Linked DNA regions of Canis lupus familiaris. The protein of the gene in region 2 purifies or fractionates together with the protein of the main gene of each other region. This does not show direct contact. Links are inferred from orthologs where the notes say so. Each region holds a gene or a part of one and is shown on either strand. Other genes may lie near its edges.

Region 1 (4,531 bases), on a different chromosome or scaffold from region 2:
CCTGTTAACTTCATATTACTCCTCCCCCATCTCTGTCTGATTAAATGTTAAAGAGTAGTCCCAGTGCCAGCCCCTACTCCTCTGATCTCTTGTGACTCACCTACCCGCAACCAGAAGTGACTTTCTTCTCTAGGGATCCTTCTATAGCATTTTCCTTGACTTTCTTTTGTCTTACTACTTACCACTTTCTTTCATTATGGAAAGAAGTCCAGATCTTGCATCAACTACTGTCTGGTGATCTCCTTGTAGGGACAGATTTATGACTGAGTCATCTTTTCAACCCCAGGGCTTTCAACATAAATGTTTATAATGGTTTTCTGAATGAAAATGTTGTAGACAAACCACCTCGTGAAACATTTTCTCCTTTCTTCTTCACCTGTTGACTTCTCTCCTGATGTGTGTGTGCAGGAGACCAAGTGTTGGGTGTTTCTTGAGCCACCACATGGTAGGCATTAGGTGCTCTGTAAGGGCCTGCTGGATGGACAGATGGAAGAGAGGTCTACACTGAGTTCCAGGCCCATTTCTGACGCCAAGTGGCTTCATGTCTCCAGACATGTCAGGACTTCTGTCCTGTGCCTCTAATGAACTGTGTAGGAAACCACTTGGAAACAGTCATAAGCTCTGGCTATGCTATATAATCTATTATTCTACCCAACATATTTCTACTGGAAATATACAAATTAATTTTATAAAAGTTATTATATTTATAAATCAAAGGAATACAAGCACATATTCTTCTCTGGCAACATCTTAATTCATTTTTAAAAAAGATTATTTTTTCGTAAGAGACACACACAGAGGCAGAGACACAGGCAGAGGGAGAAGCAGGTTCCCTGCGGGGAGCCCGACGCGGGACTCGATCCCGGGACCCCGGGGTCACGCCCTGAGCCAAAGGCAAGCGCTCGACCGCCGGCCACCCAGGTGCTCCGGATTGGCTTACTTTTCTACGTATCATCCAAATGTTTCAACAGATGAATTAAAGGACTGTCAGCATCACTCTCCAGCTGCTTGGAAGCATCGGAATAATCCACTACAAATAATTCTTTTAAGTTTATTTATTTTTAGTAATCTCTACACCCAAGGTGGCCCCGAGATCAAGAGTCGTACGCTCTTCCCACTGAGCCAGCCAGGCGGTCCCAAATTAATTTTTAAGATTTTATTTTTACGTGACCCTTACACTGCATGTGGAACGCGAACTAGCAACCCTGAGATCAAGAGTCACAACCACCCACTAGCCAGCCACCCTAATCAGTGGTTTAAGTGACTTAAAGCGCTGCAAGAAAGTCCCCTGTACGTTTTCAGGGCCACTAACCCTCCGTCCACAACGGGAGCTCCCGGGGTCTGAACCCCACCCACAACCTTACGACCCCTCAAGACGCAGAGGCCGAGGCTCGCCGAGGACAAGTAACCGGGCACAGCACGAGCCACGCAGGTAGCCTCGCGGGACTAGGAAGGGGCGTCCGCGCCTCCCACACCGGCCTCCTCTCCTGCCCTCCCGCCGGCCACGCCCACCCGCCCCACCGGCCACGCCCACCCGCCCCGCCGGCCACGCCCACCCGCCCCGCCGGCCACGCCCACCCGACCTCGTCGGCCACGCCCCTTCCGGGGCCGAGCCCCGCGCCCCTGCGCTTCCGGCGTGCGCGTTCGGCGGCCCGCGCGTGGACCCCGGCGCGGTGTGCCCATGGCGGCTGGAGGTAGCGATCCGCGGGCGGGCGACGTCGAGGAGGATGCCTCACAGCTCATCTTTCCCAAAGGTGGGGCTGGGGCTGCGCGGCTGCTCCCGGCTGTCCCGCGTGTTCGCCGCAGGCCTGGCGTCCCCACGGACGGGCAGGGGCAGAGAGGATGGGGATGTGGCGGGAGGGGGCCCCCGCGGGCCACGGTGCCTCGACAGGGGCCAGCGGGATTCCAGCCTCTATCCTGGAGCCGTTGGCTCCTTTTTACTCGTTTAAGTCGTTTATTGTATGTGATGAACCACCAAGTGCTGCAGAAATAGACGAGGATGAACAAAGCCCACTCTGGTTAAGGTGAGAAGGACAGACTTTAGTAAGGGGGCTGGGGCGTCTGGCCGGCTCAACCCGTACAGCATGCCAGGCTTTTTTTTTTTTTTTTTTCCTATTTTCTTTCGAGAGGGCGCGCATACAGGGTGGAGAGGCAGGGCCAGGGGACGGGGAGCTGGCGCCGGGACTGGATTTCTGGTCATGACTTGCGCCAAAGGCGGACGCTCAACCACTGAGCCACCCAGGCAGCCCTAGCTTGCTGGTCTTAAGCTCCGGGTCACGAGCTTGCGCGAGGAGCCTGCTTTAAAAAAATAAAAATGAAATTCGGGCACGATTGTAATAGGGAAAAGAGGCTAGCGTGGACTGAACTCAGTTTCTGTTTGTACGGAGGTGATTGGGCGTTTTAAAGGAGAACGAAGGAACGAAGGGGTTGCCGCGTCTCCGTAGATCAAGGAAGTGAAAAATTAAAAAACGCGGAAAGGGGGATTGGTGCATTTGAAACCCATTTGAGGGTTTATGTCATTTATGTTAACTGGCGCTTATGGAATTTAGGCTTCCGCTCTCCCACAGCTCTTCTCTGAACTCAGAGACGGGCCCTGTCTCTAGGTGTTGGCTGGGACAAGCCGTAAATTATTAACGACAGCTGTCAGTTTTCAGCTCGGTAGGCGCTTTATTTTTTTTATTGCATTTTTTTAATTTGAATTCAATCTCCCAACATATTGGTAGGCGCTTTAAAGAGTCAACCTAGGCAATTAGAAATTGTGTCAGTATTTTGTTCATGTCCTTCTGGGCCACATATGAGGCCCAAAAGCAGGGCTCAGAGGAGCCTGGCTAGAGTTTGGTCAGAAGGCTACAAGTACAGCACATTTTTGTTGTCAGTGAACTTTCTTTGTGCAGTGAGATGTACTTTATTTGTAATTTAGAAACCGAAAATAAGCAGGAAGCTTAAGATTTTAAAATACCATATTTTACAGGTACTGAAGAATGCAAGTAAATACGGGAAACCTTAACAATACCCACCTGTTTTAAAATTATTGCATACATAGGAAAAAGTGAAACTCCACACCCTTTCACCCAGAGGGAATACTGTACACAATTAGTACTTACCGTTCCAAGCTAATTTTATGTTTATGAATAAATATTTATGTACAATTTTTTCTTTGTAAAAATGAGATTATGCAAGAGGAATGCTATAGCCTTTTAAAATTTTGATGATATATTATGTAGAACTGTCCTGTTTTTTTTTGTTTTGTTTTGTTTTGTTTTGTTTTTAAAGCAGCTCTAGGCCCAATGTGGGGCTTGAGCTCACAACCCTGAGATCGGGTGTCCCATGCTCTATGGACTGAGCCAGCCAGGTGCCCCATCATGTTCTTTTAAAGGGTGAGAAATACTTAATGGTTTACCATAATACTTTTTTTTTTATCTGTTGATAGACATATAGGTTGCTTCCAATTTTTTATTTCATTGACTCAAGGTCAAATATTTCCGTAGGATAGCCTCATGAAAGTTTCTGGCATAATAAAAGTATATGTTTATTTTTTTAATGTGTGATAACTCACTGGGAGATGGTCTCTTAATATATGATAAATTAAGCCAGTTTTTTGTGCTTGGGTTTTGTCTGGGTACTTTTTATTTATTTTTTTTGCACAAAATATTTATTTTGATAAAAGGTAACATCTGGTACATGAAAATTTTGTTGAATTAGGTATAATTAGACCTTAGATTCTGTCAGTTAACAGTGTGTCAGAGTTTGGAATATCTGTTTAACTTCTCAGCTCATATGGGGATACACAGTGATTTTTATTTATTTTTATTTTTTTATTTTTATTTTTTAAAGATTTTATTTATTCATGAGAGATACAGAGAGAAGAGAGGCAGAGACACAGGCAGAGGGAGAAGCAGGCTCCATGCAGGGAGTCCGATGTGGAACTCGATCCCGGGGCTCCAGGATCATGTCCTGAGCCAAAGGCAGACGCTTAACCGCTGAGCCACCCAGGCATCCCCTACACAATGATTTTTATGTAGTTTAGACTATCTGAAGATGGGGGACTTCTGAGTTGCTCAGTGAGTTAAGCGTCTGTCTGCCTTTGGTTCAGGTCATGATCCTGGGGTCTTGGGATCTAGACACTTGTCCAGTTCTCTGCTCAATGGGGAGTCTACTGCTTCCTCTCCTCTGCCCCTCCCCCCCGCTTGTCTCTCTTTCAAATAAATAAATAAAATCTTTTAAATAAAAGGGGGGACGCCTGGGTGGCTCAGTGGTTGAGCATCTGCCTTTGACTAAGGGTGTGATCCTGGAGTCCCAGGATTGAGTCCCACATCGAGCTTCCTGCAGGGAGCCTGCTTCTCCCTCGGCCTGTGTCTCTGCCTCTCTGTGTGTCTCTCATGAATAAATAAATAAAATCTTTAAAAAAATAAAATAAAATAAATAAATAAATAAATAAATAAATAAAAGGGAATATGGGAGCGCTTGGTTTGCTCCGTTGGTAGAGCATGCTACTCTTAATCTCGAGGTCAGGGGTGGAACCACCCCTATG
Region 2 (4,320 bases):
GGGGCAAAGGGGGAGGGAGAGAATATTGAGCAGACTCCTTGCTGAGAGTGGAGCCCTACACAGGGCCTGATCTCATAACCCTGACATCACTACCTGAGCTGAAACCAGGAGTTGGACAATTAACCAACTATACCACCCAGATGCCCCTGAGCTCAGAATTTTTAAGCAGGGTAAAATAAGTAGTGAACTAGAAAACTAGAAGGAGACTATTGTAACAATTCTGTTGTGAGATAATTGAACTCCTGCTGTTCCAATGATAGAATGAAAAGAAAATAGAACTATTTGAAGATGAAAGGAGATTAAGAGTCTGAAGTTAGACTGGTTTATAACTAGGAGATTCTCAATAAGATTAGATATTAAAGGAAACAGTTGACTTTGAGTTCAGTCATTTAAAAAATGGCAGAGAAACTTAGTGGAAATAGTTACAGATTGGAAATAAGTGAGATTCAAAAGGTCAGGACTATTGAGGGAAGCTAGTGGGGAGGATAGGAGTTTTAACTTTGCCAACTGTAAGGAACTGGTATTCTCTTGTCTTCAAAACTGTTTAAGGAATACTGTTAGAGCACTGGGAGTTTACAGCTTGAGTCACAGAGGAAAACATTTCCAAGTACTTAAGGTAGAGGGTTTTTTTTTTTTTTTTAATTGACAGAACATTAGTTTCAGGTGTACAACATAATGGTTCACTATTTGCATATATTGTGAAGTCACAATAAATCTAGTTAACATGTCACTGTACTGTAGTTATAAAGTTCATTTTTTTTCTTTTGATGAGAACTTCTAAGATAACTCTCTTAGCAATTTTAAAATATACAAACAGTATTAACCATAGTCACCATATTGTATGTTATATCCCCATGACTTAAGGGGATAGGAAGGTTGTACTTTTTTGACTCCCTTCACCCTTTTTGCCCACCATAAGCCCCACCTCACCTCTGATAACCAGGAGTCTTTGTATGTGAGCTCAGTTTTTGTTTAGATTACACATATAAGTGAAATCATGTAATATTTGTCTTTCCCTGACTTATTTCATTTAGCATAATGCCCGCAAGGTCTATTCTTGTTGCAATGGCAAGATTTCCCCCGTTTTTCTTTAATGGCTGAATGATGTGCCTGTGTGTGTGTACCACAGTTTCTTTTTTCATTCATGCATCATGGCCTTATAATTTCTTCAGGTGGAGTCTTTTCCCCACTATTTTTTTATAGTTGTAACTACTTTAGTCTCAAAAAAGGGATCAAATACTTTGTATATAAATTACATATTTTAAAATTTATCCTAAGGCCATACTTACATATTTGCCAGTAGATTTGCTTTCTTCCACCGCTACCCCCCAAAAATCCCTACTTCTGCTTGTAACAAGTGTTGGCATTTATTTCTCTTATCATTCTGTTACCTTGGGAAGAAAACAAAGATTATCTTGTATTTCCTGTTAACTGTTTCAACTATGTTGATACCAAACCTAGTTTCCTTGCGTGATTAAACATTTAATCATTGTTAATAATAACTAGCTAATTTTATCCCAGATTCTTCCTGTTTTATTCCCTTGCTTAGATATTGTTATTATAGAAACTTATTTTTGTTGCTGTTACTGGTAAAATCCTTAAAACTGATCAGTCCTTTCTAACTCTGACACATTTTCTTTGGCTTCAAGCTTGCAGATCAGTTTTGTAATGCCATTGGAGTGTTGCAGCAGTGTGGTCCTCCTGCTTCTTTCAGTAATATTCAGACAGCAATTAACAAAGATCAGCCAGCTAATCCTACAGAAGGTAAATAGATTTTCTTGGCTTCTCTTCATTTGACCTTTATAATCTTTATAATCTTTTAATATTAAATTTATTGAGAAATACAGCTTACTTATGATTTGAGAATATTACTGTAAGTTTTGTTATAAAAGATGATTTCATTAGATATTCTACATTTCGTAATTCTGTTCATGACAAAAAGCAGATTGTTATTCCTTTACAGCTGACTTTACATGAATTTAGCAGAATTTCACTTGAGGGGCCTTAATAAGGAAGGCATTCCATTTACATATTCTTTTATTCAAATGACTGACATACTGTCCTAAAAAAATGAAATAATTATGTTTAGTTCCCAATTTGAGTTAATAGTAAGGCTACTTCTCAAACATGTGATAGGGTTGGTGTGTTAGAATTACATTTTAATCATTCAAAGCATAGTACAGAAAAAGTTTATGACCTTCTCTGGTTTCATTAGGTTCAAATTTAATTTCTACTTCTGAAAACTTGACATTTCCTAATACTCTAAATGAGTAATATCTTTCTTTAGAATATGCCCAGCTTTTTGCAGCACTAATTGCACGAACAGCAAAGGACATTGATGTTTTGATAGATTCATTACCCAGTGAAGAATCTACAGCTGCTTTACAGGTAAAAATCTCTTTTCCTTTGAGAAATTTGCTAGTAGAGTATTTTGATTAAAGGAGGTGTTTTTTTTTTTTTTTTTTTTAAGATTTTATTTATTTATTCATGAGAGTGTGTAACACTGAGAGAAAGAGAGGCAGAGACACAGGCAGAGAAGAAGCAGGCTCCTTGGAGGGAGTCCGACGTGGGACTTGATCCCCAGTCTCCAGGGTCATGCCCTGGGCTGAAGGTGGCACTAAACCACTGATCCACCCAGGCTGCCCAGGAGATTTTTTTTTTTTAAGTTATCTCTACACTGAACCCATGAGGGCTTGAACTCATGACCCCAAGATCCAAGAATCACAACACTCCTCTGACTGAGCCAGTCATTGCCCCAAAGATTTAATACCTTTTGTTACAATATTCAAAGTTTCCTTAAGATTAAGTTTCATTTATTTATTTTTGAAAGATTTTATTTTTAAGTAATCTCTACATCCAACATGGGGACCGAAGTCACAACCCTGAGATCAAGAGTCACGTGCTCCACTGACTGAGCCAGCCAGGCACCCCAAGATTAAGTTTTAAAATGGAAGTTTTCTTAATTGTAAACTACTGTAGTCTATTAAAGATCATGCTGAATATATATGGTTGTCCAATTTCGAGCTATAAGGAAACTTCTTAGTCTTCTCAGTTTGGCTCTTTTCCTAGCAAAGAATGAGAGGAGAGTGGCATTCTGGGTGTGTAGAATAGTAGTGTCCAAAAGCAGTGTCACATCTAGAGTGTCACATCTAGACAGAGATCTCTAATTGAAAATTCATTCTTTTAAGTAATTCATACAGGGAAAGCTCCTTAAAAGTTACCTGATTTTAGAGTTTCTTTCTTTTTTTTTTTTTTTAAAGATTTATTTATTTATTTATTCATGAGAGACAGAGAGAGAGAGAGGCAGAGACATAGGCAGAGGGAGAAGCAGGCTCCATGTAGGAAGCCCGATGTGGGACTCGATCCCTGGACTCCAGGATCACGCCCTGATCCAAAGACATATGCTCAACTGCTGAGCCACCCAGGCGTCCCCTGATTTTAGAATTTCTGACACTGAAAAATCTATCATAATGGTTGCAGAATCATCCAGATTTAAAAATAAATACTTCTGCAGTTTTTTTTCTTCTCAACTCTTAACTAATCTCCAAGTTTTTCATTTCTCAAAAGATTTTTAAATTTGTGTCTTACAAAGGCTGCTAGCTTGTATAAGCTGGAAGAAGAAAACCACGAAGCTGCTACATGTCTGGAGGATGTTGTTTACCGAGGGGACATGCTTCTGGAAAAGATACAAAGTGCACTTGCTGATATTGCACAGTCACAACTGAAGACAAGGAGTGGTACCCATAGCCAGTCTCTTCCAGACTCATAGTACCGGTATCTACCATGTGGGTGAGAAAAGAACTATTTCAGTGCCATTAAGAGTTCTGCATCAAATTTAGATGTAAGCCTTACCAACAGTTACAGAAACATTAAGCACTATGACACATGTTACCTTTTTAGCTATTTTTTAATAGTCTTCTATTTTCACTCTTGATAAATAAGCCTCTAAAATTGCGATTGAACCAGTTTTAAACCATCATATCATTTTTTTATTATTGGAATGAAATTATTGAGGCAGATATTGCATTAATGGTTATATTATTATTAAACAGATGTACTTTAAAATTCTGTTGTGACATTTCTATTTTTATTTTTATCAAATTTCTACAGTCTTTTTTGCAAATCAAATATCCCTCAAGCCAAAGGAGAAATGGTAAATGTAGAGATATGAGACATTTCAATATAGGTTGATATCCTTCTGCCTCTTCAGAGGTGACATTATATAAATTTGGAGTTTGAGCAAGGAAGGTTTCTGAAACCATATTGCTTTTAAGAAACTTAGGGTTAGTGTAGTTCGGTGAGAGATTAGATCACTTTTAT
Region 3 (3,755 bases), on a different chromosome or scaffold from region 2:
TTACTTGAAAGGGTGTTAGGTATTAAAACGTGTCAATGTTTTTCTTGAAGGTGAGTGACCTTTCATTCCATGATTCATTAGCTACTTTCATTGCTATTCTGATAGCACGACAGTGTTTCTCCCTGGAGGACGTCGTGCAGCACGTCGCGCTTCCTTCTCTCCTAGCAGCAGGTACGGCACATCCAGAATGGCCCTTGTGATTTGATGGTTGTCTGGGGGTGGTTTCTAGCTAGTACAACAATAAACATACTGTTTCAGGGTCCATGCATCAGCCAGTGGTGTGACGTTGAGGTAAAGGTCTGAGAATGGTCAGTGTAGTTCTATACAAAGTCAAATGGATCCCTATGGAAAAGGTGGTTTTTACGGAAGCACTCTGGTTTCTCGAAAAAGCAGAAAAAGCATAGTGTAGTTCCTTAACTTCTTAAAGTAAGGAGCATTTACATTTAAATTAGTCCAGATAAGTTAGCTTAATGGGAAACCTGAAGACCTATCCTTGAATAAATTAGAAAACTTGCTCTTAAAATCTTTCCTAGCTTGTGGAGATGCAGATGCTGAGCCTGGGGCGAGAATGACATGCCGACTCCTGCTTCATCTCTTCCGAGCTCCCCAGGCCTGCTTATTACCTCAAGCAACCGGTGAGCTGACAGCTGAAAAACCTCTGATTACGTTTTCATTTGGAGGTAGAGATTCTAAAATGACCAAGTAGGCTGTCCATTTTGTCATTTCCTTCCTGATTTGGGTTGAGCTTGCTTTTGCAGGTGAGGAAGGAATGCAGTAATGCCCCTGAGAGGGCCGTCAGCACCTTTGATTTATGCAATATCAGGATGTATTGAGAAACTCAAATCAGGAGTTAATAAACAATAAAAATACTTTTGCTCTTAGGCCGAGCCATGCTGGTGGGCAGCTTGATCCTCTCATCTACTATGTATGTTGGTTATGAACCACATCATAGCAGCTTAGGGCAGGGATGATTCATTTATTCTTTTACTAAGGTAAAAGGAAGACGGTAAGAGGTCTAGGAGTGTTAGTGGAGTGTGTTTCCAAAGGTCATTTCCATACAGGGGTATGTGTGTGTGTGTGTGTGTGTGTGTGTGTGTGAGAACCAACGTACGTAGATGAAAGTCCTTATTGTTTTGATCCGTCTCTCTAGGGAGCAAAGACATTGTTTTAATAATTAAAAAAGAGAATTTTAAGAAAGGAATACTGACAGCGTTTCTTAGTGAATCCTTGAAGCATCGATTAAAGCTAGCTGATGGCAGTTAAGGACACACAGTCTAAGAGTGAAAGACTCTGCTGATTGTAAATGGTTAGGAAAGATTGTTAGGGACGGTCATGAGACCATTCAAAGTTTGCTGTTGTTCTCCTCCTAGGCAAACCTTTCCCTGGAATAAGATCATCTTGTGATAGACACCTCTTAGCCGCTGCTCACAACAGCATTGAAGTGGGAGCCGTGTTTGCTGTTTTAAAAGCGATTATGATGCTTGGTAAGACTATCCTGGCACTAAACGTGGTTAATCACCAGAAACAGAGGAAAAATAATTTATATTCAGGATCAACTCTAATTCATATTATTAGCAACATGGTTTGGTTTGATTTGGTTTGGTTCTCCTGGCAAAATTAGTTGGCTTTCTCCAAGTACAAGATCAGCTGGACTTGAATTGTCTGCTCCTTACCTACAGTTCTCAGGGAATTTAAATATAATAGTTTTTATTTTTGGATGACATTTTAACTACAGGATATTTTGTTTGATATAATAGAGATCTCAGACCCACAGGTTGGTTTTATCTTTATTTGTTGGCATAAGTCACATTTTATGAAGGACACAAATGCCACGGTGATCTAACCAAAGGTTGAACTGTTTTATTATATATCAGGAGTAGAACACCAGAAAACCTGGATTTTAATCTTAATGTCTCTGCTCCTATTGTGACCCTGAACAACTATATAAACTTCTACTTTAGCTTTTTCATAAATCAGGTAATAATTGCAATAATGTCAGTATTATTGGCAAATCAACGTTAGATGTCAGGATTTTAAAAAGTTTAATCCATAATTTCCGAGATGTCCATCATACTCTTGATGGCATATCCGTTCCTGGGGTAGCAGTACTGCATTTTCTGTTCATTTATAGTATAATACTTTAAGACATTTTTATTCTATAAATTGTTCAGGATTTGAATGAGTAGTAAGTCTTAAGTCCACACTGCCTAATTCCAACTGTGGCAACCCTCTTTTGGCCTTGACTTAACAAAAGTCTTATGTTCTGAAGGAGCTCTCTTTGATTAGAACAGAAAGTAGATAGGCATCATTTTAGAGGAGTCCTAAAGAGCATTATAATTTGTACTCCTGTTTGAATGTTATTTGGTGATGATGAAGCATAACAGGATTTCCATTTAAAAATTATTTTTAAAAGTTCACGTTAAAAAGAAAAGTTCACCTTAAGAGAATATATATATATATACATATACATATTTACGTATGGTTTGTAATTTTTTCAGTAGTTTAAAGGTTGGAGAAAACATAATTATATATGCATTATATATATCTCAGATGCCCTTGGAAATGCCTAAAATATTCTTGCAGTAATAGAGAAAGGGCCACGTGGAGGGCCGTGCCTCATTTCTGAGTTTAGGAGCTTACAGTATTAAACAAACAACATTAAATGCTCTTTTCAGTAAGTAAAATTTCTCTCCTCTGATCATGTTTGAAAAGAAAATGGCTGGTCAGTCTACTTAAATAAATGTAGGGACCATGAAGTTAGGGACTTGCTTTTTATTTTATTTTATTTTTTCAAACTGTGGTATCTCTAATGCCCATCAGAGAAACTAGACAGGTTTTGAAATAGTAGCTTTTCAACAAGCTAATGTTTGGAGTGCGACTGCAGAGGGGATAGACACTGAATGGCAGAAAGCACGATGAGGGCCGTCGAGGCCCTTGCCCCTTCATTTGGAGGACTGGTCCAGTTTTAACTAAAATTTGCCAACCTCTTTAAGGAGTCACAGAATTGTATTTTAATATCCATGTGTAATAACCTTTCATCTTTGATTGGCTTTCCTTGACTTTTTTTTTTTTTTTTTTTTTTTTTAATTCATCTCAGTTCTTGTTAGATTGAGAATGTTAGGTCTGAGAAGTCACGATCAGGTCATTGGATGTCAGTAGAGCCTTGGACTAGGTAGTCACAGAACACTTCTCTATTCTGTTACTTGCACAGTTATAGAAGTTTCTGGCACAGTCTCCTATACCTTCTCTGTCATCCTAACATCTATACTAAATGAGAATCTGAATGAGGATTTCCTAGGCAGAGGGGTTTGTTTCTCTGATTTTGTTTTTACAGAAGTTTTAATTTCTCTACTTCACCCTGTCCTTACCAGTGTTCTCTCAACTCATGTCCACCAGGATCTATTTTGAATTTGGGAGATAAAACTGTTATATAGGAGTCGGTTTTTAATTTATGCAGTAGTTTAACATAAGGTGTAGATATAGTTGAATGAGTAGTACTATGTATCCCCAAAATTGGGGAAAGCGTGCTAAATTTTGGGACGTATCTTTCAGCTCCCAGCGAGCTCTGTTGAATTAAATAAACTCGTGGGTGAAAAATTGGTACTTTTTCTATTGTACATTTTAATGAGGAACGTTTGATAATATATAATAAGATATTGATACTTGAAAAGTATTTTCCCCCCCTCCTCTTACGATTTTATAAATAAGTATTCACTAAGCCATTATGATTTTTTAAATTTTTCAGCAGAGTCAAA
Region 4 (4,433 bases), on a different chromosome or scaffold from region 2:
TTCCTCATCCAAGAAATTAAGACACTAGCATCTCTGCCTTCTAAGGCTCTTTTGTGTATTAAACGTGATAAGACTGTGACTCTTCCTTGTACCTACTTTTATTCCATGGCGGTTGTGGTAATTACTATTAATTATTGCACCATCAACATTTCCCCAGGTAGCTCAAAGGGGATAGCCTCTTCAAGCACACCTGGTCTGATCCCAACAGGCCTTTCTCCTCTAGGAAAGTTCTCTACCAGGACTCCTAAAACTCTTCCCTAAAGTGGATAAGTCCATGGGTAGCAATAAGAAAGCCCTGCAGACTCTCCTTCTCCCTGCTTTCCCCCCTGGGGGTACTCTAGGCAGTTCTTGCTGAAGAAAGCTGTGCTAAGGCCCATCACTAAAGAGCCTTTAGTGCTCCAAAGAGTTGGAGCACACTCTCCAACTCCTATTTCCTTCTACAGTCTGCCTTCCCTAGGGTCTGCCTCCATCAACCTTTCCTGATGCATCTGAAAATAGTAGCGTCAATGCTTTCCCTGGAATCAGCCCCCTTGCTCTTAAGTGCTCCAGCTCATCTTGCCACCTGAATATGGGCCTCCTTGCCTCTCTTTAAGACCCTTGATGGTAGACTTTGAAAGGTTGGGGCTTTCCTAGCTCATGTCCTCTCCCACTGACTAGCTGAGCTTAGGATGGGTGTCCCATTGCCCAGAAATCTATTATACAGCCCCCATATCACACTTGTTTTGAGAAATATAATTACATCACCACCATGTTTTTGACCTAGGATCCTGGGGACAAACCAGACCTTTGGAGGTCAGCCATGTACCTGAAGTTAGAAAACAATTTAGGCTTTGCTATGACCCTGGAGTAAGCATTTTACAGTTAAGGAAACAGACCTAGGAGCTCAAGGAACTGGCCTGCCCGTATGGAGAATACCCGAGGTGGACTTTCCTGTAGGATGCATTTATTCTTGGCACTAGTCAATCCCCTTCTGCCTTGTTTTGAAGTCAGGACAGCCTTCCTACCCACTACTTCACATTTAATACTGCATCTGCCATCCAGAAAATGCAATGTTGAATTATGAGTTCCTCCCTATCTAGGCTTGGGGAGCTTTTAGAGACTCACTTTACTTTGTCTCTGCCCCTTTGGGCTAACACAGTCTCACACTTCAGCTGGGTCAGGGTTTGCTGCCTGTCCTCCTGGAGGCATCTGCGAGGTGTAGGAGGTGTAGGCCCTCCATCTCTGGATTCTCAATGCCCGTAGGGCCCAATGCTTTACACAAAGCAGGAAGTTGTTTACTCTGCATGTGGTTCAAGGTGGTCGGGAGGCCTTCTCCGAGGGCGGGGCCCTGCGGAGTCATGCATCTCAGCTTTCCTGTACTAGTTGCTTTTGGACCCTTTTTGTCGTGTGAATAAGAATGTTATGTCTCAAATGGATCTGTTTCTGACTATTTAATAATCTAGCTGCCTCTACTTACAACCAAATCCGTCAATCGCCCGTTGCCTAGTAACATCAGCCACGCCCCCAGGATATTGCCCCGCCCACACCCTAGTACGCACGCGCACAACCTTTTTCCAGGGCCCGCCCACCGCGGGCGCAGAGCGGTGACGTCTGAGGTCCGCGACGCTTTTGAGAAGCTGACCGTTGGGGTCCTGCTGCCCGAGCGGCGCGGTTCCGAGCGCTATGGCCTCCGCCGGGGTGGCCGCCGGGCGACAGGCCGAGGATGCGTTACCGCCGCCGGCCGAGCCGTCGCTGCCCGAGACGAAGCCGCTGCCGCCTTCGCAGCCGCCGCCTCCGGTCGCCGTGCCTCAGCCGCAGCAGTCGCCGGCAACCAGGCCCCAGTCACCGGCCGGCGTGAAGGAGGAGGAGAATTACTCCTTTTTACCTTTGGTTCACAACATCATCAAATGGTAAGAGCCCAAGAGAGGACCAGCCACGACACGCCCTCCCGCTTCTCGTCTCGTGTTTCCGAGCGGCAAAGGCCTAGGTGCTCTCGGGCACAGCCCCATTTTACCGCTGGGGAAACAGAGCCAGGGGCAGGAGGCCTTTCCCACGACCACACCTGGTCACAGCGTCAGTTCGGCAAACGTTTGAACCCTGAGAGAGTTGCCAGACCTCACGATGGCCAGGCGATAGTCTTAAAAATGAAGGCTCTGCAGTCAGACGACTCAAGTTTGCATCTTAGTGACCTGGAGCAAGTCAAGCGTCTCTGAGCCTCGGTTTTCGCACCTGTAATAGAGGAGTAACACTTGGGTGTTGTCTTTTCAACACATCCAGCAGATATGGATCATCTTCCTTGTGTGGCACACTGCTAAGTCCGTGGAATGTACACAGTAAAGAGGGCCAACTTCTCCTCCCCCCTCCCCCAACATTGCTTATCAGTTTGAAGGAAAAAAAGACAGGGATGGAAATGACCCCTATTTCAGAGAGTTTGGAGGGTTGATGATAGTGAACTTAGAAGAAACAAAGATAGAAGTTGGCCCTGTAGGACTGTTCTTACATCGTGCCAAAAAGGGTGATTTTCATTTTTTTTTTTCCCAAGATTGATTTATTCATTTTAGAGAGCTTGAGCACAAGCGTTGGTGGAGCAGAGGGAGAGAGAATCTCATGCCCACTCCCTGCTGAGCAGGCAGGGCTGGATCCCTCCACCCTGAGATCATGACCTGAGCGGAAATCAAGAGTCCCACACTCAGCCAGCTGAGCTCCCCAGGCTGGCCGACTTGTCTTTCTTTTGGCCAGTCTTTAGATTATAGCCTGAATTTTCAAACTGACTCTGTAAAAGAAAAAAAGTAGTGCAGCCAAAAGGCTCCGTGATCCCCATGCTTTCCTAAATTATTTCTGCTGATACCTTATTTATATCCACATGATACAAGGGTAAACCAGGCTCATAACTTATTCAGCCATTAAAAACCAAAACAAAGTAAATGAAAGCAAAGTCACTGTTACTGTGACATTCAAGTGAGCATTAATGCGCTCTTGGGTGTCTTGCTGAAATGGACTTGCTACCTACAACATGAAAGTCTTGTTTGTTACTGGCCTAGCTTTTGAGCTTAGCCGGACTAGATTCACTTGCTGTGGGATGACCTCATGCTTCCACCCCTTTTTAAACAGCTGGAAAGCCTTTGTTCTCACATTAGACCCTGCCTTCATTTGGCTTCACTTGGTGTGAACATACCGTTTATAGGGTAAAACAGACTCTGTTCTGTTCTCATTAGCCTGTGATCATCAAGTGGCACTTCTAGGGAGCAGTGCGATGGCAAAAAAAAAAAAAAAAAAAAAAAAAAAAATCACACATGGAGACCCCCAAATCTCAGGGCAATGCTGGATTATAAGTGGGCCTTGTAATCTTATTAAAACATAACCTTTCTAGGCCTTATTTTCTTATCTCTCATACGTGAATAATAACAGTGGACCTGAAACATTTAAATTACAGCTTTATTGTGTAGGGCCTAGGTCATCTTGGTCAAATGACTTAGCTTCTCTGAGTCTCTTTGGCGAAATGGAATAACAGTACTTAAATTTTAAGATTGCTGTAAGGTATACTCAAGAGCAGCCTTCTGTGAAAGATGGCAGGTTGATCACATGTGTTTATCTCTATACTCTCTGAAAGGACAGTGAGGAGTGTTTTGTTTTTTTTTTAAGCATAAAACCAAAAAGAACAGCTGTTGTCACAAAGCAGATGGCTAAAGGCTAATCCATCTATGAGCCCTCAGAACCATCCAGACACAGCTGCCTTTGACCATGGCTTCTCCCCAAAGCTCAGGAATTGGCAGTGTCAGGGACTCCTGGAAATAGAGGTGAAAGTGAGACTAGAACAGGAGGATTACTTAAAGTCTGTGTAAGAATCAGATCCCATAGCCTTCTTCCCCACTCTAAGCAGATGGGGACTGCCCATCTTCCATCTTGGCAGACCAAGGATTACTCTCCCCCCAAAATTTATTTTTAAAAATAAGCCAGAGTGTCTCTGGACTGGGGAACACCAGGCACATGGCAGGAGTTGGAGAAAGGGAGCCATACTGAAAAGAGGGATTAAGAGAAACTTCACAAACTTAATACTGAGACCCAAACCTAGTCTTGGGTTGGCTTTTAGACTGGCAGCCAAAGAGACAGAGATACCTTCTCTGGGGTATCTCATCAGCCCAAAAGAAAGACTGGGAGCTCTCCAAGGAAGAACTTAGTTCATTTTAAGAAAGTGAAGAAGTATCACTAAGAGTTTCCACTAAGTCAGGGCACCTGGATGGCTCAGTTGGTTAAGTGTCTGACTCTTGGTTTCAGCTCAGGTCATGATCTCAGGCTTGTGAGATTGGGCTCCACAACTCAGCACGGAGTCTGCTTGGGATTTTCTCTCCCTCTCCCTCTGGCCGTGCCCTCACTCTCATTTTCTCTCAAATGAATAATAAAATCTTTAAAAAAAAAAAAAAAGAGTTTCCATTAAGCTTTTTAGTGTTTTATTC
Region 5 (3,755 bases), on a different chromosome or scaffold from region 2:
GCCTAAATACTCATTAATATGAATAAATTATGGCAAATTTCTATGAAATACTATGCAACCAATGAAAGAATGAACTTCAGCCACATGAACAACCCAAATGACTCATGAACATAAAGTTACGTGAAATAAACAGGAAGCCAAAGAATATCTATTACGTAAATTTACTATAGTTCAAAATTGGCAAAACTAATCCATGTTGTTATAATGGTTATTCATTTTGGAAAGAGGTAATAATTAGGAATGACATAGTGGGGCTTTCGTTGTACTCAGATTTCTTGGTCTGGGTAATGATTACAAGGCTGTGTTCCTTTTGATAATTCAGTGAGTTGTACACTTACTATCTGCATTATACTTCAATGAAAACATTTAAAAATGTTATGCAAAAGAGGAATAGTCAATTTTCTTTCTCCTTCCTTCCTTCCTTCTTTCTTTCTTTTTCTTTCTTTCTTTCTCTTTCTTTCTTTCAAGATTTATTTATCTATTCATTCAGAGAGAGTGAAGAGAGAGGCAGAGACACAGGCAGAGGGAGAAGCAGGCTCCATGCAGGAAGCCCAATGCAGGACTCAATCCCGGGTCTCCAGGATCACACCCCGGGCCGCAGGCGGTGCTAAACCACTGCGCCACCGGGGCTGCCCTCAATTTTCTTTCTAGTATAATTTTTCCTGTTTAAAGCTTACAGCACAAAAATGATAAAACAAATGATATATTAATGTAGTTTTATGCAGCTGAGTGACTAGAGAGCAAGGTTTCTCCAAGCTTACTATACAACTTATGAATACCATCTAATAACACAATTGAAGTGATTTTTATAATCCCATTTACAGACTCAGACTCAAGAGACCAACTTTTCATACAGCTAGTAAATGAGAACAGATATTACAATCTAGGTCTGATGTGCTCCTTCGTGTCCATTATTTCCCAATATGTCTCCTTTACTATATTTTCATTTGTATTATTCTGAATGGGCATGCTTGCCAAATATCCAGATAAATACTTTATCATTCAACTAGTAAGTCTACTCCACTACATATAGTCTCACTGGAAAATACAAAGATACATACCCTTGCAGAAATTTGAAAGAATACAAAGAATATTTGTTGGTAGGGAAGAAAAAAAAACAACCCTTTCAGAGAGTCTGCATATTATATAAAGAACTAGGTTTTAAAGAAAACTTTGTCCCACAATTCTAGGCTATTTCTACATTAGAGAAAAATACTACATATTTGTGGAATTTTCTGGGGGCAGATTTCAACTTATTTGGAAAATACTATTTTCCAATATTGGAGATGGCTTGCTATTTTATTTTATTTTATTTTATTTTATTTTATTTTATTTTATTTATTTATTTATTCATGACAGACATATACAGAGAGAGAGGCAGAGACACAGGTAGAGAGAGAAGCAGGCTCCATGCAGGGAACCTGACGTGGGACTCGATCCCAGATCTCCAGGATCACATTCTGGGCTGAAGGCGGCATTAAACTGCTGGGCCACCAGGGCTGCCCGGGGATGGCATTTTAAACCAAAAAACTGAACTAAACCAATCTTCTGAAAATTTAACAATTATCTCTTCAATATTATTCCCCTTTCAAGATTTGCTGTGGTGAGTGTCCCATATGCTAGCAGCACAGAAAACTTATTATCTTTAGACATACCTCTTCTGAGTCTTGTGATTTGATGGTTTCTTCACTCAAAACATATCGTCCTCTATAAAACTCCCTTATCCTCAGATTTAATGTTTCAGTTTCTTTTTTCAAGTTCTCATAACTTGGCAGTGGTTTAATGGCTGTATCTGAGGCCCTAAAAGGTAAAGACTCATCCAAGCTGTTCTGAGATTCCTGAAAGGCAGGGAAATGCCTATCTAGGTCAGAGTGTATGTCATCTTCATCAAGTTCTTCTTCTTTAACCAGAGGGGCTGAAGAAAGTTTCAGACACAAAGCAGCATAATTCTGGCCATACAAAAACCTCAAAGTTTCTTCTGTCTTCCACTCAATCAAAGTCTCCTTCAGGACTTTAAGTAAGTTTGCCTTTGCAACTTCAGGACACATCTGCACTGAACTAGAGGCTGGCCTAGAATCTTGCTTTGATTTGGCAAATTTTCTCTTAAAATGCTCAGCACTTTTCTTACTTATGCCTACTAGAGTTATTTTTGAACTACTGTATTTATTTTCAGAATTTTCTGTAGCTTCTAATTTTTCTTGCAAAGGACTATTTGAAGAAATCTGAGGACTTACTTTCTGTAAAGGAAGTTCACAAGCAGCAGCCTTCCCATGACTATCTAATCTGCACTTGCCTAGCTGCTCAGTGACATCTATTACCGTCTCTTCTTTGTCTTCATGTTTGGAGTTAGCTTTCTGACCAGCTTTCTTTTTCATTATGCTTTTTTTGTGCAGCTGTGGACTTATACCCGTTGCAGTTGGTCTGTTTCCTGGTAGAATGGAGGAAACAAAGTCTTGTTCATTATCACTGCTATTATCACTATGAGAGCTGGAAGAACCAGATTCATAATGCTTCTCAAAATGGCCAGGATTGTCAATATCTGATGTTTTAATGGCCTTAGTGCATAGCTGTACTTCCTTTCCAGAATGGCCACTGTAGAAAAAAAGAAACAAAATAACTATAATGGAAAAGCAAATGTCCCATGGCATTTATATATTGTAACTCTCAAGGTAAAAATTTGTACTCCCTAGGCAAAGCCTTACAGGCATGTATACACACACACACACACACACACACACACATATCCACACATTTCCAAAGACTGCTATAAATCTATGATTTCTCTACATCTTATTTGATCTAATTGTACCATCTTCGTCTTTTTCCCCATTACTTAAAAAGTGTGGGACGCGTGGGTGGCTCAGTGGTTGAGCATCTGCCTTTGGCCCAGAGCGTGATCCTGGAGTTCTGGGATCGAGTCCCACATCGGGCTCCCTGCATGGAGCCTGCTTCTCCCTCTGCCTGTCTCTGTCTCTCTCTCTTTCTGTGGCTCTCACGAATAAATAAATAAAATTTTTAATAATAAAAGAAAAGTGTTAAGAGTATAGCAAAAAGGAAAAAAAGGCTTGGTAATTTCATTCTAGTAATTTGATTTCTGCCTGTTGTATTTGTGACTATTTTATGTATTCTTTTTTGTTTAAACAAAAAAAAGGTTTTCTTTTGAACACTTCACTCTTGCTTTGTCAAAAAAAAAAAAACATATTATAGAAACTCTGCTTAGGTTTCAGAAGATAACATGATAAAAATTGGAAAAAGAATTTTCCAATACAGACTATTCCATAGATTAGAATAAAAAACCCAAAAGTCCCAGCAGAAAATAGAGTTGACAATTTAACATTTATTTATGAAAGATATATTTGAAAACCCAGAGTTAGAACAGAATGCTAACAATAAAAAAACAGTATCCCTTTGACTATGTTCCTTCAATTTTCAATTAGGCTTAAAATAGATTAAGAATTGTGAAAGAGTCAAGGAAAAAAAGTAGCTCTGTCTATACAAACTTGAGATATTCAATGATAGGTGAGCAGCTACTTTCAAGCAAATGCACATATCAAAACTTTAAAAGATTAGGACAACGATTCTGGGTCAAATTGGGGCAGAGGATGGTGAGAGGGTATACTGAAACTTTCTACTTTTCAGGGAATTTTTCTGTAAACCTAAAATTGTTCCCTAAAAGGGCTATTTATTTTTTAAATGACTAAATAATAAAATGAAATAAAATAATGCATGCTAGGTAGAAGTATAAAAAAAGAAAA
Region 6 (4,453 bases), on a different chromosome or scaffold from region 2:
TATCTCCAGCACTCACCCTGGTTCCTGGACATAAGAGAAACTAAGATTTTCAGATACGTTTGATTGACTTCAAGATCTGAGAAAGTTCCTTAAGAAATTTACTCTTGTAGTAAATCAATGATCTCCATCCCCCACTCCCAAGTTTTCCAGGTTTCTTCCCAAACCTAGCAGGTGGGCGGGGGGGGGGGGGGGAGGTGTCACTACTAACTTTCCTTACCACTTTAGATAAAGGGGACCAATTCTTCCTTTGTGCTCCCACTAAATGTGGTATATTATTCTTATCCTAGCACCAATCACGCATAAAATCGTATCCCAAGCATCCTAAGGACGCAGGAATTAAATGAATCCATATTCACCTTGATTAAGGACACTTTCTCAGACATCCTTGGAGAACGTCACCATTATGCACAGACCTTAAAAAAAAAAAAAAAACAAACATCTTTTACAATGCAAACCTGATGCCTGCTTTTAAGACGATGCATCCTCCTGGCACTTGAATTGTCCTTAGACAGATGGCCCAAAGCTTGGCTGTGGGAACCGCATATGGTGGGAGGAGACCATGACTCGAGCGCCAGGAAAAGGATGATTGGCTGCCGGGCCTCAGAAGTTCTCCGCAGACCGACGCCAGCCCTAGGAAACCGCTGAGGGTTCAGCTTTTGAAATACGGTTTTTGCATCGTAAAGAAAAAAGATGGACCTATCAGAACAACCGAGCACACCCAATTACCAATCAAGAGCGGGAAAGGAGCCAAAGCCCGGGGATACCCACGCACCGACGAGGACGTCATTCTCTAGTCTCAGCCAATGAGCGGCGGAGGGGGGCGGGGCAACGAGCGGACCAATCGCCACGAAAAACAAACCGTCTTGCAGCACAACTGCTCTAACCACAGTCCTCGCCTCTCTAACCGCCGGCGCAAACTCCTGAGCCGAGCACTTGTTACGTACTTTCCACTCTCCCTCTCGCCCGGGGGCAGTGATAGTGGAGTACCTTCCTCTACACCACAACAAGGGCCTTTTTTCCACCCGCTCCCCCACAGACTCGCAGAAAGAATTCGGCAACTTGAAGCTTCCCACCTTCACAGGAACTGGCAGTCCGGCGCTACCTGAGGGGGAGGGGCGGCCGCAGTGCGCAGGCGTGCCCGCCTCGCGGGGCGGGGCTGTGGCGGCCCAAAGCAGCCTGGGTGTTGTATTTCTTCTGCTGGCGAAACTCGGTTGCTGTTGGGGCCCTCCGGAACTACATTTCCCAGGAGCCCCCGCGACCTCGGGGTGGGCGGGATGGTTCGTTAATGAGCTCGAGGAAGCCGCGGCGCGGCCCACCAGGTTCCAAAACAAGGAAATGAAGGGGGGAGGCGGGACTGGGGCTGCCTGCGGGAGCCGCCGCCGCCGCCGCCGCCGAGGAGGAGGAGGAGGAGGTGGTGGTGGAGGAGGAGGTGGCTGCCGCGGCCGCCGAGGAGTCCCTTGCTGAAGGCGGACCGCGGGGCGGCGGGCGGCGCGCGCGCGCCCGAGAGGCGGCTGTTGGAGAAGTGGAGCGGCGGGCGCGGGGGGAGGAGGAGGAGGAGGGACTGAGCGGCGGCGGCCCCCGCGTCCCGGTGCCTCTATGGGGAAAGCAGACAATGGATTATGATTTCAAGGCGAAGCTGGCGGCGGAGCGGGAGCGGGTGGAGGATTTGTTTGAGTACGAAGGGTGCAAAGTGGGACGCGGCACCTACGGGCACGTCTACAAGGCGAGGCGGAAAGATGGGTAAGAGCAGGGGCGGGGGGAGCGGGCTCGCCCGGGTCCTCGCCCTGCCCGCGACCGCGCGGGGCGGCTGGGTCGGAGCCGGGGCGGGCCGCTCCCGGGGGGCGAGGCGGCGGGGGGCGCGGGGCCGCGCGTCCCGGCGCGGACTGGGGGGCGCGGGCGCTGCCCCCCCACCCTCCACCCTGCACCCTCCGCCCCGCGCGGCCCCGTCGCGCCCCGCGGACTCCCGCGGCGCAGCCCGGTCGGGGGGCGGCGGTCCCGTCCCCGAGGGCGCCCCCCGCGCGCCCCGGGCTGGCGGCGGGGACTCGAGGGGGCACCTCCGCGGAGGTGGAGTTGGCGGGGTCTGCTCTCGGGGGCGGGCGGGGGGCACGCGGGGCGCCGGGAGAGCTTCGTCGAGGAGTTGCCGCTCCGGCCCTGGGCCGGTGACGGTCGTGGCGGAACTTCCAATCGGCTGAGCGCCTCCCCGGGGGCGGCGGTTTGAAACCCAGCCGGGGAGCCGGCGGCGCGGCCGAGCGCTGGGGGCCCGGGCAGCCTCCCGGCTCTGGGCGCAGCCCCTGTCTACACCCGCCGACTTCGGGATCCATCCTCCCCCCGCCGATTCCGCCTTTGCACCTTGTGAATTCCGCGCCTCCCCTCCGAGGTGGGACCTCCCGGGAGACCCGCCGCGCTTTACCGGCGGAACTTCGCCTAGTTCCCTAACTCGTCCCCCCACCCCCCACCCCCCGCGACCTTGGGCATCCTGAGGTCCTCCGCACCCCGACCTGGGGCATCCTGAGGTCCTCCGCACCCCGACCTGGGGCATCCTGAGGTCCTCCCCACCCGGACCTGGGGCATCCTGAGGTCCTCCGCACCCCGACCTGGGGCATCTTGAGGTCCTCCGCACCCCGACCTGGGGCATCCTGAGGTCCTCCCCACCCGGACCTGGGGCATCCTGAGGTCCTCCGCACCCCGACCTGGGGCATCTTGAGGTCCTCCGCACCCCGACCTGGGGGCATCCTGAGGTCCTCCAGACCCGCACCTGGGGCATCCTGAGGTCCTCCACACCCCAATCTGGGGCATCCTGAGGTCCTCCCCTGCGCCCCCCTGGCCGAATGACTGCGCGCTGGGGGCTCCCGAGCACCTGGATGGGCCAGGACGGAAGGCGGGCCTGGATCTCTTGTTCTCCCGGGGAGTTGAGGGCGACCCGTGGTAACACCTCTTAGAAGCGTCCATGGATCGCCGTCTTAGGAGAAGGCGAGCTGGAGAAAGTATTGACAGCGCCTGTCCTTGGTCCTGTAGGGTAGCCGTGCGCGGGCTGCAGGGCCGGAGGCACCAGCTCCCCGCGGCGAGGAGGGTCGGGGTGAACCCTTGGCCTCCCCTCCGCCCACCCTGGCGGGGATCCTCCTCCCCCGGAGCCGGGAGCCCGGGGACGTCTCTCGAGCCCTCCCGCCTAGGTTCCCAAGGCTGTCAGAAACCACTCGGGGGAGAGAGTTTGTAGGCTCGTAACGGGACATCCCTGAGTGAAGGGAGGATCGGCCGCGGCGACGTTAGTGGGACTGGCGGCGCTGCGTCGCGTCCTGCGCACCTGCCTGTTGCCATCGCTGCAGCTGGTGTGGGGGGGCCAGGGCGGAGCAGGCGGGGCCGCGCGCCGGTGCCCGGGGAGCCCGCGGAGCCCGACCCTACACGCCGTTTCGCCCTAGAGCGTCGTGGCCTCACGAGGTGCTGCACACGTGCGGAGAGAGGATTGTGAGCCGCGTTTAGCTTTTGCCTTCTGAACTGGACGAGCCCCATGGCGTTCAGTTGTAGCTTAACTCATGGTTCTTGCAGTTACTTGCCAGGTGTCGTCCTTGAATTAATATCTTGGACTGTGAGGCACTATAATTAACTTGTATTTTGCTTCTGGAATATTAGCTCTGCTTGTTCTCCTGGTGTCCCTGTAAGGAATCTTAGCAGATATACTTGGGGAAGAGCACATCTAGTTTTCCTGGTTGGACACTGGCATTACAAAACAAATCCCACCTTGTGTGTTTTTCATACTCCTCGTGCTTACGTTGTGATACACTTGATCTGGAATTTCTAAGATGTATTTTCATTTTTGTTGTTAAAAATAGCTTCCTTTCAGTAGGTAACTTGTGAGAAAAATTGAGGATTCTGCTTTTGAATTGTATTTTTTGATAGCATGGGCCACAACCAAAAAACAGCTAAATTTAATTCCTGCTTCTCATTGTTCTTTTTTTTTTTTTAATATTTTTCCCCTCTAATAAAGTTCTTGATTCGACTACACTTTTCTTCTTGAGTGAAATTTGTTTGAGCAGAATTAATAAAGTTTCTCGAATAGAATAAGATCAGTTTGTGTATCTTCAAAATACGCTTTTTAAAGAAACTTTTAGGATCTGAAAGCATTAGTTGATATCACTGTATTGGTTATAAGAAAAGTCATTATAAAGGTAGGTTTTCTTGGGTCAAAGGTCTAGTTGAGATTTGAGGTTTTACAGTAAACACATCTCTTGTGGGTTGGTAGGATTAGTTTTATGTTCCGTGATACAAGCGATTTGAAAGAACAAAGTTTTTAGTGATGGTTCTAAGCTGTGATGCAGATTTGCATAGTAAAGGATTTTACACTCTGATCATGGTCCATTACAGGTTAGCTCTTGACAGAATTTATTTTGGTTAATTCAGAAAAAATGTATAAGGCTATCTTATGGAACAAGAAAAAAAATGACATGGTTCATTAAAG
Region 7 (3,755 bases), on a different chromosome or scaffold from region 2:
ATTGTATACCAAATATTAATGCTGATTAAATCTGTAATTATTAAAATAGTGCAGGAAAAACTGCAAGGCACAGAAATAGGCCCATACCACAAGACACATGGGAATTTAATATTCTACAATGATAGCATTACAAATCAGTGAGGAAATGGCTTAAAATACTGAACCCCCCCAAAAAAAATATTGAACCAATTGGTCAACTATCTGCAAAAATTAAATCTTACAACATCTTCAAATAAATTTGAGATGGATTAAAAATTTCCTTTTGAATTAAATGGAAGTATAAAATGGAATTTTTTAAAAAGTAGTAGAAGAAAATAAGGATGAATACATATCCATCTTGGGAGTAGGGAAGGCATGCTCAGGCATAACAAAAGTAGTCTTCTAAAGAAAACTTCTACACCGAAACACCACAAACTGTATTAAAAAGAAAGTAACACACTAAAATAAGAACATATGACAAAAGCCGGACATCTTAATTCATCAAGAATTTATAGACCAATAAAAACAGCACTTTCCAAGAAAATAGTTAAAATATGAATAAGCAACGCTCAAAAGAATGACCATTAAGTGGTCAATAAACATGAAAAACCATCCTTCATTAAGCAATCAAAGAAATATAAATTTAAAAAATAATCCTTTCTTGTAACTGATTTGCAAACACTTTGAATATCAATTTTCAGTTCTGGGAGTTCAGTATTGCTAGGAGGAATTTAAAGGGACTCCATCTTTGTGGTGGGTGAGGTCTATCGAGAATCTCAAAAACTTATATACTTCCAACTAGCGATTTCACTTCTAGAAGGCTATCTTCCAGAAATAATTTTTTGGACAAACGTGACTTTAAGATGTTAATCACATTGTTTACAGTTTACACTGTAACTAACATTATTAAACAATAAGTTGATTTTAAAAGTTCTGGCAGACCCATTAAATTGAATATTCTGTAGCTATCTAAAATGCAAATTATCTATTATGGGAAAATGTTTAGGACACATAGAGCAGGCTATGAAACAATATATATAGTATGATTGCATTATTGAAAATAGAAACAAAAAATACGTGAAGTACATATACCCAAACCTTAATAGAAGTGTTCTCTGGGTGATCCGACTACAAGGGACCATGTGTACATGCATTTGAGCCCTTCCATATTACTTGGCTTTTCAGAATGTATCCTTTTATCCTCTAAGGAATAATTTTATGTTGTGAAATACATTTACTATTAGTTTTTAAAAGTACAAATAATTAATTTGTTAGCTCAGTATATCTTTACATTGGGGGGGTGGGGGAGCTGGGGTGGCAGGGGCATAGAAAGCTGTAGCTGCTCCTGGAAGTTCATGCTAGAGAACTGAGCTCTTCTTCTCACTCCTAAATGTGTTTGCAGGAAAATTTCATATATGAAAGTCTCTTTTAAAGCAAGATAAATTTAATTAAGCACCAGTAAAATACCACCATTAACATTGTAAGTTGCTCTAATATTTTATTCTTCCTTTCAACACTGTTTGAAGTCTCCAACATATTAAACAAAGAAGTCTTATAACAACTACATAATCCTTTAAAATTACATAAACACAAATACATAAGAGATTGAGATTTCTGTAGCCTAAATATGCCTCTTTGGATGGGGGAGGGGGGCAATATATTGACAATCCAATTGTAGCTTTAAAAAAAAAAATGGTTTCCTTACCAAAATGAACCTGTCAGCTCTGAGAGTAATCACCTCAAGTCAGGTCAAGCCTAAGAATAGCTACTCCCTTCACCTACAACAGTCACCCTAGACTTTCCCTCCAACTCGTGTTACTCCAGGCAAATCTGATCATCTAAAGATCATCCAAGCTCCAGCATCACTAAAAGTACTCCTTATTCCTAATCAGAAGAAAGATAGCATCCTTCCTAAGGGAAGACGGAAGGAGACAAATATTTAAGAATTTCCTAGGAGTGTCTTCCTAGGTACTTCACATGTGTCCAATACCTCAATAACCCCATGCAAACATGCACAAAATTCTCTAGACTGCTCCCTTCATTACTCAAAAGAGGAGGGAACTTTATCTTCCTAATTCATTTTAGCTGATGCCTGGGGCAACCAAATATTTCACTGAAAGACATGTAATAAATGCTATTCCACTGAGATAAGAATAAGGAAGAGCAGTTACCTGCCTCATTTGGCTTAGAGGAAAAAAATACTGTGCTTACTATGTACTAAAATATCAGACCAACACACAACATACTGCAAAACTTTAATACAATATGATTAAACATAATATTCAAATTTTAAACTTTCTAAGCACATGAAAGTCATCTTCTGAAAGACACACTGGGCTATTTTTATAGCTACCTTTGTGTAACTTTGTAAAACTCCTCCCCTCAACAATGTGACTCTGATCTTGATACTTGGTAAAAAGTCTGATGTAAGATCATGATATCTCAACAGGCAGACATTAAGGTGATGATTCCACTGCTCATCTTCAGAATTCATCATCAGAGGACCGATCATCTTCATCCCTTACTTCTCGATACTTCCTCGAAGTCTCCCCTTCTGGATTATAGCTCTGCATCTTAATATTCAGTCTTTCAGCTAATTTTTGTGCCGCGAGTTTGGCTTGCATCTCCTTTAAAACAAAAATCAAAGCAAAAAGTCACACATTCACATCTTTTTCCCTACCATTTTTCCAACAGGGAGTCACTTAAAGAACACTGGAAATAAAGGGGCATACCACTCCCCTCAGTGCTCTCTAGCAGTGTGCAAGTTTGAGGTTGTGCCTACTGCAGATACAGGGGGGCAATGCTGGTGAGAGCTACTAGCCCACCACCGCTATGGTCAGATTTCCACTCAGACAGACAGTGGTGCACTGATTACCCCACTTCTCCACGGCAAACTGAGTAACAGGCTAAATGCTGCAACAGTTGCAAATATGAAAAGATTTTTAAGTATGTGGATACATGCATGTGTACATACACACTCACACAGCAGTTTGAACTATCAAATGCCAAAAATCACTAATGCTGTCCTGATTCTCCAACAAAGAATCTTCTTTCCTAGATGAAATCATGGCTTTTAGGCTTGAGATTTACATTTCAGTTGCACAATGAAAAAAAAAAATCAAGAAACCAGTACTTCTAAAAAGCTAACTATCCCCTCTCCAAATTAAGTTCCCATGAAAGTTACTATGCAACACAAAGCCACATAAATTTCAGATGCAGGCAACGTGCTCATAAGACACCCAAGGGCACAACCTCTGACTGATGGCAGGGGCAGCGCAATTTTTAATCTGGCTCTTCACTTTTCTCCTGCTTCTGCCCCTACAACTTGACCCTCTCCCCGTCCTTCCTCTCAGGCCATGAATATTCTGGGTAGGCAGAACTGAAATGGGAGCTATTACCACTCTGCCAAGGAAACCAGTTTCAAAGGAACCAAATTCAAGCTAAATTGGACAGGCACTTAAGATCATATAAACAATTTAGAAAACAATTCCCCAAGGGTGTAGTTGTAAGTAGGCAATAATACTCTAATACGTGAGGAAGAAAAATGGCTAAAAAGGAATGCCTTGAAAATGCCAATCCATGCCAAATGAATTTTTGTAAAAAGTCAAGGCTGAAAAACAGCCTCATTTTGTCTTGAATAGTGCCTAGTGCCTGATTAAGATCTAGCAAAGCAATGCCAGGAAGTTAGGCTATTTTCCTGGAGGTTCAAACTCTTACTATCTAAGGATATTGGATGCTTTCTATTCTCCCTCCAGTCTGCACAACTATTTCCTCCC

What was found.
Region 1: the proteins of MED21 (region 2) and POLR2D purify together in Homo sapiens (affinity purification with mass spectrometry; 4 studies listed by BioGRID and IntAct, with this or other methods). This does not show direct contact. The link is inferred for Canis lupus familiaris from reciprocal best matches to the Homo sapiens genes MED21 and POLR2D.
Region 3: the proteins of MED21 (region 2) and MED12L purify together in Homo sapiens (affinity purification with mass spectrometry; 3 studies listed by BioGRID and IntAct, counting the BioPlex papers as one, with this or other methods). This does not show direct contact. The link is inferred for Canis lupus familiaris from reciprocal best matches to the Homo sapiens genes MED21 and MED12L.
Region 4: the proteins of MED21 (region 2) and MED9 purify together in Homo sapiens (co-immunoprecipitation; 8 studies listed by BioGRID and IntAct, counting the BioPlex papers as one, with this or other methods). This does not show direct contact. The link is inferred for Canis lupus familiaris from reciprocal best matches to the Homo sapiens genes MED21 and MED9.
Region 5: the proteins of MED21 (region 2) and RPAP2 purify together in Homo sapiens (affinity purification with mass spectrometry; 3 studies listed by BioGRID and IntAct, with this or other methods). This does not show direct contact. The link is inferred for Canis lupus familiaris from reciprocal best matches to the Homo sapiens genes MED21 and RPAP2.
Region 6: the proteins of MED21 (region 2) and CDK19 purify together in Homo sapiens (affinity purification with mass spectrometry; 6 studies listed by BioGRID and IntAct, counting the BioPlex papers as one, with this or other methods). This does not show direct contact. The link is inferred for Canis lupus familiaris from reciprocal best matches to the Homo sapiens genes MED21 and CDK19.
Region 7: the proteins of MED21 (region 2) and POLR2M purify together in Homo sapiens (affinity purification with mass spectrometry; 3 studies listed by BioGRID and IntAct, with this or other methods). This does not show direct contact. The link is inferred for Canis lupus familiaris from reciprocal best matches to the Homo sapiens genes MED21 and POLR2M.

What each region holds. Positions count from the first base shown.
Region 1 is NC_049240.1:24,109,285-24,113,815, forward strand, and holds the start of POLR2D (DNA-directed RNA polymerase II subunit RPB4), read left to right. Parts: upstream 1-1,600; 5' UTR 1,601-1,681; coding exon 1,682-1,754; intron 1,755-4,531. UniProt on the Homo sapiens protein: Core component of RNA polymerase II (Pol II), a DNA-dependent RNA polymerase which synthesizes mRNA precursors and many functional non-coding RNAs using the four ribonucleoside triphosphates as substrates.
Region 2 is NC_049248.1:25,934,763-25,939,082, forward strand, and holds the end of MED21 (mediator of RNA polymerase II transcription subunit 21), read left to right. Parts: intron 1-1,649; coding exon 1,650-1,764; intron 1,765-2,287; coding exon 2,288-2,388; intron 2,389-3,592; coding exon 3,593-3,769; 3' UTR 3,770-3,784; downstream 3,785-4,320. UniProt on the Homo sapiens protein: Component of the Mediator complex, a coactivator involved in the regulated transcription of nearly all RNA polymerase II-dependent genes.
Region 3 is NC_049244.1:46,482,346-46,486,100, forward strand, and holds part of MED12L (mediator of RNA polymerase II transcription subunit 12-like protein), read left to right. Parts: intron 1-50; coding exon 51-171; intron 172-533; coding exon 534-635; intron 636-1,370; coding exon 1,371-1,484; intron 1,485-3,755. UniProt on the Homo sapiens protein: May be a component of the Mediator complex, a coactivator involved in the regulated transcription of nearly all RNA polymerase II-dependent genes.
Region 4 is NC_049226.1:42,192,044-42,196,476, reverse strand, and holds the start of MED9 (mediator of RNA polymerase II transcription subunit 9), read left to right. Parts: upstream 1-1,593; 5' UTR 1,594-1,662; coding exon 1,663-1,889; intron 1,890-4,433.
Region 5 is NC_049227.1:57,113,194-57,116,948, forward strand, and holds part of RPAP2 (putative RNA polymerase II subunit B1 CTD phosphatase RPAP2), read right to left. Parts: intron 2,593-3,755; coding exon 1,656-2,592; intron 1-1,655.
Region 6 is NC_049233.1:67,738,856-67,743,308, reverse strand, and holds the start of CDK19 (cyclin-dependent kinase 19), read left to right. Parts: upstream 1-1,428; 5' UTR 1,429-1,612; coding exon 1,613-1,740; intron 1,741-2,208; exon of another isoform or gene 2,209-2,377; intron 2,378-4,453.
Region 7 is NC_049251.1:23,190,171-23,193,925, reverse strand, and holds part of POLR2M (protein GRINL1A), read right to left. Parts: intron 2,607-3,755; coding exon 2,463-2,606; 3' UTR 1-2,462.